Linked DNA regions of Saccharomyces cerevisiae S288C. The protein of the gene in region 1 binds, or shares a complex with, the protein of each later gene. Each region holds a gene or a part of one and is shown in the gene's direction. Other genes may lie near its edges.

Evidence for each region. Proteins that work in one complex are often made in the same cells at the same time.
Region 2: the proteins of CDC31 (region 1) and SFI1 are in contact, whole or in part, in a crystal structure (PDB 2GV5), measured with the Saccharomyces cerevisiae proteins. Residues at the interface, in NP_014900.3 of Saccharomyces cerevisiae: Glu20 (codon at 1,802), Glu24 (codon at 1,814), Glu27 (codon at 1,823), Ala28 (codon at 1,826), Leu31 (codon at 1,835), Phe32 (codon at 1,838), Asp41 (codon at 1,865), His43 (codon at 1,871), Glu44 (codon at 1,874), Val47 (codon at 1,883), Lys50 (codon at 1,892), Ala51 (codon at 1,895), Leu52 (codon at 1,898), Gly53 (codon at 1,901), Arg92 (codon at 2,018), Glu97 (codon at 2,033), Arg100 (codon at 2,042), Ala101 (codon at 2,045), Leu104 (codon at 2,054), Phe105 (codon at 2,057), Leu118 (codon at 2,096), Arg120 (codon at 2,102), Val121 (codon at 2,105), Ala122 (codon at 2,108), Glu124 (codon at 2,114), Leu125 (codon at 2,117), Glu127 (codon at 2,123), Thr128 (codon at 2,126), Leu129 (codon at 2,129), Glu133 (codon at 2,141); in NP_013098.1 of Saccharomyces cerevisiae: Arg670 (codon at 3,889), Tyr674 (codon at 3,901), Cys678 (codon at 3,913), Asn679 (codon at 3,916), Gln681 (codon at 3,922), Ala682 (codon at 3,925), Ile683 (codon at 3,928), Lys685 (codon at 3,934), Arg686 (codon at 3,937), Asn687 (codon at 3,940), Tyr688 (codon at 3,943), Gln689 (codon at 3,946), Leu690 (codon at 3,949), Glu691 (codon at 3,952), Lys692 (codon at 3,955), Val694 (codon at 3,961), Leu695 (codon at 3,964), Lys696 (codon at 3,967), Lys697 (codon at 3,970), Phe698 (codon at 3,973), Arg699 (codon at 3,976), Glu700 (codon at 3,979), Arg701 (codon at 3,982), Leu702 (codon at 3,985), Ile705 (codon at 3,994).

Annotation. Positions count from the first base shown.
Region 1 is NC_001147.6:809,264-812,057, forward strand, and holds CDC31 (centrin), read left to right. Parts: upstream 1-1,744; coding exon 1,745-2,230; downstream 2,231-2,794. Other genes in the region: TRE2 (putative zinc metalloprotease), read right to left, coding at 1-1,420; HNT3 (DNA 5'-adenosine monophosphate hydrolase), read left to right, coding at 2,408-2,794. UniProt on the Saccharomyces cerevisiae protein: Functions as a component of the spindle pole body (SPB) half-bridge. At the SPB, it is recruited by KAR1 and MPS3 to the SPB half-bridge and involved in the initial steps of SPB duplication.
Region 2 is NC_001144.5:141,320-146,557, forward strand, and holds SFI1 (Sfi1p), read left to right. Parts: upstream 1-1,881; coding exon 1,882-4,722; downstream 4,723-5,238. Other genes in the region: ORC3 (origin recognition complex subunit 3), read left to right, coding at 1-1,604; H3 histone acetyltransferase RTT109, read left to right, coding at 4,972-5,238. UniProt on the Saccharomyces cerevisiae protein: Component of the spindle pole body (SPB) half-bridge involved in the initial steps of SPB duplication.

The DNA of each region.
Region 1 (2,794 bases):
TCACCTCTTGGAATAATTGAACTATAGATAATAATGCAGCTGTACCAAAATTGGGATAAGTAGTTCCAAAATTGATGGAATTTCTCGATGCAGCAATTATTATAGCTTTGTCTGATTGTTCTCTCCCTTCAATTTTACCAACAATATTAGGAATAAAATGCTTTTCCCTAACATTAGTTTGCAGATCTACATCGATCAATACGTCTCCCATTTTCCCACTGTTACTACGATCACTATTACCATCATCAACCGTTACTCCTCCTGAAGATAAACGCGATAGTAGCTCTTTTCCTTGTCTCGTGGAGATTGGGATAGTTGGAATATGAGTTTGACGCCAAAATTTATGATCCTTTTCTTCTACAGGAGAACCATCCCAATTCAATCCTGATGCATCACCAGTCGAATATTGGGGCAATCCTACAGGCTTAGATTGAACAACGTCTATATTCTCACCATATGGCTCAGATATGAAGATTACAGCTTTAGCTCCGAATTTCTCAGCAATTAGTACTTGCTGACTCACTAATTTATCATATTGCAGTAAAAGCACATAGTCCTTCCCATCTTCTATCGTTTTCGAATCTTTTAAATGTTGTAAATCGTATGTTGTACCTTTGCCTCCATAAATCAAGCTCACTTTGGATAATTTCCCGTTAGAACTCAACGGATTGAAATTTTCTTTAGAAAGTTCTAGATCATGCTTTTCATTCTTGTTATCATAATATGAAATTGATACATTGCCTGGATAATTAGAATAAACTGAGTATCCCATTTCTTTAACCAATTTCAACCCATTGTTGTCAAAAGATTCCTGAATGTATCGATAAATAGCTGCATCACCCTTCGTTCCGGATCCATGAGGCATGCTACTAATATATTCCAAATCTCTCTCAAACTTTGCCAAATCCACGGATTTTTTGGCATATTCAAAAAGTATATCGTGTTGAGAAAACATCCCTTTAGATCCTGATGCCTTTTCGTTGAATAAGTAGCCACTTGACAAGACATAATATGCAATAAATGACATGAAAATGATGTAAAAGAACCTTCGAAGTATAAAGGGATTTCCGATTTTACTTAAGTAATAGTCAGCTTTGTCTGGAACGAATTTTGATATTTGTAAGAGTGGATGAATGATGTTTTCCATTAAGGGTTCCAAAATTTTTTCCTGAAACCCAATTGAAACCCTCTGTAGATGTGTTCTTTTGTGAAGATCATCGTGAGGGTCCTCTATATCAAATTCATAAGAAGGTGGTTCAGGTGGAGGCGTTATATTAGTTTCTATACTGTTGTCGTTAGAACTAGGAGGAGAATCATCAAAACGCTGGCTCATCAACAGATTATGGGACGACGACGCAGTAGGTATAGCATTTTCATGTTCAAAGTTTGTAGTTGACACTGGTTGATAACTGCTCCTCATTAAAATTACTTGATCTCAATACCCGGGGGTATTATCTTGGTTTGCAAATTAGTTACAGATTTCAAATAACCCAAAGCTTGATGTATTTCTCTAGTATTGAGAGGCGTTTAGGAAAAGAACAACTTTAATGATGCAGGAAGTACTTGCTTAACTAGTTCTTGCCTGATGCCGTAATTTTATCTACTAAATTTCCAAGAGTTTTGGAGGCTTAACTATTGCGAAATAGAGAGAAAAAAAGAAGAATCCTAATTAGTAAGTATGGAAGAGATTTATTAAACGAGAAAGGAAGTGAACCAAAGAAGAAACGGAAATAAATCATACAGTATGAGTAAGAACAGGTCATCGCTACAGTCTGGTCCACTTAATAGCGAGTTATTGGAGGAGCAAAAGCAAGAAATATATGAGGCGTTTTCATTGTTCGATATGAACAATGATGGGTTCCTCGATTACCACGAGTTGAAAGTAGCAATGAAGGCCCTGGGATTTGAGCTACCCAAGAGAGAAATACTTGACTTAATAGATGAATATGATAGTGAGGGGCGGCATTTGATGAAGTATGATGATTTTTATATTGTAATGGGGGAAAAAATATTGAAGAGAGATCCGTTAGATGAAATAAAAAGGGCATTCCAATTATTTGATGACGACCATACTGGGAAAATAAGTATTAAAAACTTGAGGCGTGTAGCTAAAGAATTAGGAGAAACTTTGACGGATGAAGAGCTGAGAGCGATGATTGAAGAGTTTGATTTGGATGGTGATGGCGAGATTAATGAAAACGAATTTATAGCTATTTGCACCGATAGTTAATTATGACTATATATTTAATCTATAAAAATGATTTGTAACTATATTAGTATACTCCCGTGGGTCTCTCGTTTTCTGTTTTAACTTACATCTTGCCCAAGGATGCACTTAAAAGTGAAAAAGCCAATCTAATCCTGCAGGGCAACAATAAGAGAAGACAATAAAACAAAACACTGAAAAATGTCATGGAGGTATGCGTTAAAAAACTACGTTACCAGCCCAGAAACGGTAAACGATGATACAGTCACATACTTTGATGATAAAGTGTCCATAATTAGAGACTCGTTTCCTAAATCAGAGTGCCATTTATTGATTCTACCACGAACTATGCAGCTGAGTAGAAGTCATCCTACTAAAGTGATTGATGCTAAGTTTAAGAATGAGTTTGAATCATACGTTAATTCTGCGATTGACCACATCTTTAGGCATTTTCAAGAAAAGTTCCGAATAAAGAAGAGTGATGATGACAAAGACCCCTGCTGGGATGACATATTAAAAGACAAAAACAAGTTTGTAAGAAATTTTGTACAAGTTGGGATACACAGCGTGCCTTCGATGGCCAACTTA
Region 2 (5,238 bases), on another chromosome or scaffold:
TGAAAGCAGAGATTTCAGACCTTTTATATAGTGAAACTACTCAGAAAAGGCGATGCTTTAACACTATTTTCCTATTAGGTTCAGATAGTACGACAAAAATTGAACTTAAAGACGAATCTTCTCGCTACAACGTTTTGATTGAATTGACTCCGAAAGAATCTCCGAATGTAAGAATGATGCTTCGTAGGTCTATGTACAAACTTTACAGCGCAGCTGATGCAGAAGAACATCCAACTATCAAGTATGAAGACATTAACGATGAAGATGGCGATTTTACCGAGCAAAACAATGATGTATCATACGATCTGTCACTTGTGGAAAACTTCAAAAGGCTTTTTGGAAAAGACTTAGCAATGGTATTTAATTTTAAAGATGTAGATTCTATTAACTTCAACACATTGGATAACTTCATAATTCTATTGAAAAGTGCCTTCAAGTATGACCATGTTAAAATAAGTTTAATCTTTAATATTAATACAAACTTGTCAAATATTGAGAAAAATTTGAGACAATCAACCATACGACTTCTGAAGAGAAATTATCATAAACTAGACGTGTCGAGTAATAAAGGATTTAAGTACGGAAACCAAATCTTTCAAAGCTTTTTGGATACGGTTGATGGCAAACTAAATCTTTCAGATCGTTTTGTGGAATTCATTCTCAGCAAGATGGCAAATAATACTAATCACAACTTACAATTATTGACGAAGATGCTGGATTATTCGTTGATGTCGTACTTTTTCCAGAATGCCTTTTCAGTATTCATTGACCCTGTAAATGTTGATTTTTTGAACGACGACTACTTAAAAATACTGAGCAGATGTCCTACATTCATGTTCTTTGTCGAAGGTCTTATAAAGCAGCATGCTCCTGCTGACGAAATTCTTTCATTATTGACAAACAAAAACAGAGGCCTAGAAGAGTTTTTTGTTGAGTTTTTGGTAAGAGAGAACCCGATTAACGGGCATGCTAAGTTTGTTGCTCGATTCCTCGAAGAAGAATTGAATATAACCAATTTTAATCTGATAGAATTATATCATAATTTGCTTATTGGCAAACTAGACTCCTATCTAGATCGTTGGTCAGCATGTAAAGAGTATAAGGATCGGCTTCATTTTGAACCCATTGATACAATTTTTCAAGAGCTATTTACTTTGGACAACAGAAGTGGATTACTTACCCAGTCGATTTTCCCTTCTTACAAGTCAAATATCGAAGATAACTTACTAAGTTGGGAGCAGGTGCTGCCTTCGCTTGATAAAGAAAATTATGATACTCTTTCTGGAGATTTGGATAAAATAATGGCTCCGGTACTGGGTCAGCTATTCAAGCTTTATCGTGAGGCGAATATGACTATCAACATTTACGATTTCTACATTGCGTTCAGAGAAACATTACCAAAAGAGGAAATATTAAATTTCATAAGAAAAGATCCCTCCAACACCAAACTCTTAGAACTAGCAGAAACACCGGACGCATTTGACAAAGTAGCACTAATTTTATTCATGCAAGCAATCTTCGCCTTTGAAAACATGGGTCTCATTAAGTTTCAAAGCACCAAGAGTTACGATCTGGTAGAAAAATGTGTCTGGAGAGGAATTTAGATAAAGAATGCACGGATAAATAAGTAAATAAATAACCATACATATATAGAACCATAGAACCACGTTTTTGTAATGAACAGTCTACCTGTATCTCATCATTTTTCTGTGTTAACTATTATTATTATTATTATCGAATGGAGGGTAATATTATGTATAGGTAAAATAAATAGATAGTGCCATGATGCGCGAAGATTGGCAATGGGAAACTCAAGAAGGCAGCAACAAAAAAATAAAGGTGGCCTATTAATCACAATCTATTGCCTATATGTGCTAGGTTATGGGCAAATTCGGCACGACAAATAAATCAACGGAGAATCTTCTGCGTGATAAATTCGTACCCGAGACATCTCCAACTAATATTCCCACTGATGTACTCATCAAGCAAGGGCAAATAACGGATTCCACCGAATCACTAATTCATGGAGGCGCAGAAAGGTATATTGTTAACGCTTTAAAGCCTATAGAATTAAATAAAACTGAAGGCTTTTTCGAAGACCCGCCGTTCCATCTTCCTTCTCCACCGGTTGATTCGACAAATCTGGAGTATGAAGACGTTACCGATCTTCCTAAGAATGGTTTACGATATGATTTGAATGATATATCCGTTGAGGTAATCGAAGATTTATACCGCCAGATTGAAGCTTTTTTGGTTCATTTCAAACTATCCAGAAGTTTTTTACAAATTTTCAAAAACTATGTCAATATTCTTATTCAAGAAGGCATCAATCCTTTACGCGATGAGTACTTCACAATATTGGAAGATGAACTGAAAGGTTTTTTCACTTTCAATTCTGTTATAGAAGAGATTTTAGAAATATTTTTAATCCACCCTCGCAACAAATTCATTGCATTGTCCCTTGCAGAATATACCTACGCTAAGAACAAAATCAGAAGACATTTTAATCACTGGAAGACTGTATGTGAATTGAATGAAGAGGCAAACAGGTTTGCAAATCAAGCAAAGCTGAGGGTACAGGAAGCCGTCTTCTATATTTGGAGTGATAAAACATTAAAATACTCACAGATGGCCAACGATGAAGCTGAAAGTTTTAGGAATACTTGGCTACTATTTCGCTCGTTCCAACAATGGATAACTTTAACACAAACTCTTAAGGAGCAGTCAAGGTTAGCAGATCAGGCCTTTTTGAATAAGATGTTTAGGAAAATTTTAAAGGCACAAGAGCATTGGAAACACTTAGAAACTGTTAACACTGACAACATTAAGAAGATATTTTTACGAACAACATTTCATATATGGAAGCTAAGACATAAAGAAATAAACTACCACGGGTTGGAAAGAAGGATTTTCGAAAGAATAAAACAGAAAGTTATAAACTATGAATACAATAAGAGCATTGCAGAAAAAGTGAGGTCGTTTTCTCTACAAAGAAAATATCTGAATAAATGGGAAAAGAAAAACATTGAAAACGAAGATAAACTTGGGGCACTTTATGAACTGGAGAATAAATTCATCAAACAAAAGTTTTTTCGCAAATTAAACCGGTCATTTCAACATAGTCAACAAGAGGCAATTGCAAAGAGTAAACTAAATCAGACACTTTTGAGGTGCGTTTTTGAGAAGATGTGGCTGAAAAGATTCGAAGACCATCTGCATTTGTATTCAATTGTAAGTCTAAAAGAGGCTAACCTCGTGAAGCGTATTTTTCATTCATGGAAAAAACTTCTATATATTGACCTCAAAGCAAGCGATTATTCGAGGACTAATTTGCTCAAGTCATCATTGCGAAGTTGGAAACTTGAAGTAAAGTTAAAAATATTTGAGCAGAAATGTAAAAAGAGTATTCAAGCAAGCGCGTATCGTACATGGAGGAAAAGAATACAGTATGGGAAAATATCGAGCGAACATGTTAAAACGGCATTTTGTGCAAAATATCTTGGTGTGTGGAAAAGGAGGATGCTACAAATGAATTCTATGAATGACGAAGCATCCAAATTTTACGAAGAGGGTCTCGTAAATGAGTGTCTAGCTATATGGAAAGAACGCCTGATTAAAACTAAGGAATTGGAGGATAGATACAATTTCTTATGTAAGACACATGCAATTTTGACTGTAAAACGGACGCTAATGCATATTGATAATGTTCATTTGCTATATACGAAACTGGCGCCCTCTATGGATAGAGTAAAGCTTTCTAAGGCCTTTTTAAAGTGGCGGAAAGCCACAAGGTTCAAAGTCAGGCATAAGTTAAACGATATTTTACACGTTTATGAAAAGAGTAAAGAGCGCGAACTTCAAAGCCAACTGTTCAACGCTTGGCGAAATAGATTTTGCTTCTACACAGAAGAATGTAACATTCAGGCTATTTCAAAGAGAAACTACCAGCTTGAAAAAATGGTGCTGAAGAAATTTAGAGAAAGACTTTTAGAGATAGTAAAATCAGAAGAATTAGCAGACGAAGTTCGCGAAGAATTTGTGTTAGTCAAGACGTTTTATATTTGGAAAACTCATCTAGACGAAATATTTTATATGAGTACATTATTGGAACAATCGGAAGCTAATAAACAATTCATAATTACATCCAAATTCTTGAAAATGTGGAGTCTTCGATTCCTAAAAATTAAGCGTAATGATGAGACAGTCGAGGTGTTTCGTCATCGGTGGGACAGGGCCACTGTAAGGGGATTGTTATTATTATGGAAAAATCGTTCAGACAGTTCTCCAAAGAGAAGGAAGGACTTCAATCTTAAACATGAACTAAAAACTCCCATAAGATCAGACTCTCAAAACGCCTCAACCATACCAGGCTCAGAAAGAATAAAGCAGCACAGAATGGAAGCGATGAAGTCGCATTATAGCAGGGCAAGAAGAGCCATACCAAGTCCGGTGAAATCTTCCAGTGTTCTTGATTCTACAGCTAAAAAACAGATCAACCTTGAAAGTACGACAGGCTTAAACGGATCTCCGACGCGAGGAAAACCTCTAAGGTATTCTCCTAGGCGTACCACTAGAAACATGCCATCCAAAGTTGACCATATTGATTTTGGCAGAATACCCGCTGTACCTTTTAGCCTAAGCGCCAATTCTCCTAAAATCGATCAAGATATGGATTATATAAGAGAGCATGATAAATCCCCGTTAAGTCGTAAACGTCAATAGATATATATATTATGTACGTATGTATGTGTGCATATGTAGTCGTAACCTTTCTTGCTTCTGAGATGCATACAATTACTAATAATATTCTCCAGGTCTATGAAAACATCACAACATACTATACTTTTCGTGTTCGCGTTGTAAGCTATAATGGAAAATGGACGCCATAACGCATTACTTAACAAACTACAGTTTGTCAATAGAGTTGTCCAGTAGAGTTAAAAGGTCAATTCAACCGGTCTTCAATAAGACATGTCACTGAATGACTTCCTAAGTTCCGTGCTACCTGTCAGTGAACAATTTGAATACTTATCGTTGCAATCTATTCCGTTAGAAACCCATGCTGTCGTAACCCCAAATAAGGACGACAAAAGGGTCCCAAAAAGCACGATCAAGACTCAACACTTCTTTAGTCTATTTCACCAAGGAAAAGTTTTTTTTTCATTAGAAGTGTATGTGTATGTCACGCTTTGGGATGAAGCAGATGCCGAACGGTTAATATTTGTATCAAAGGCAGAC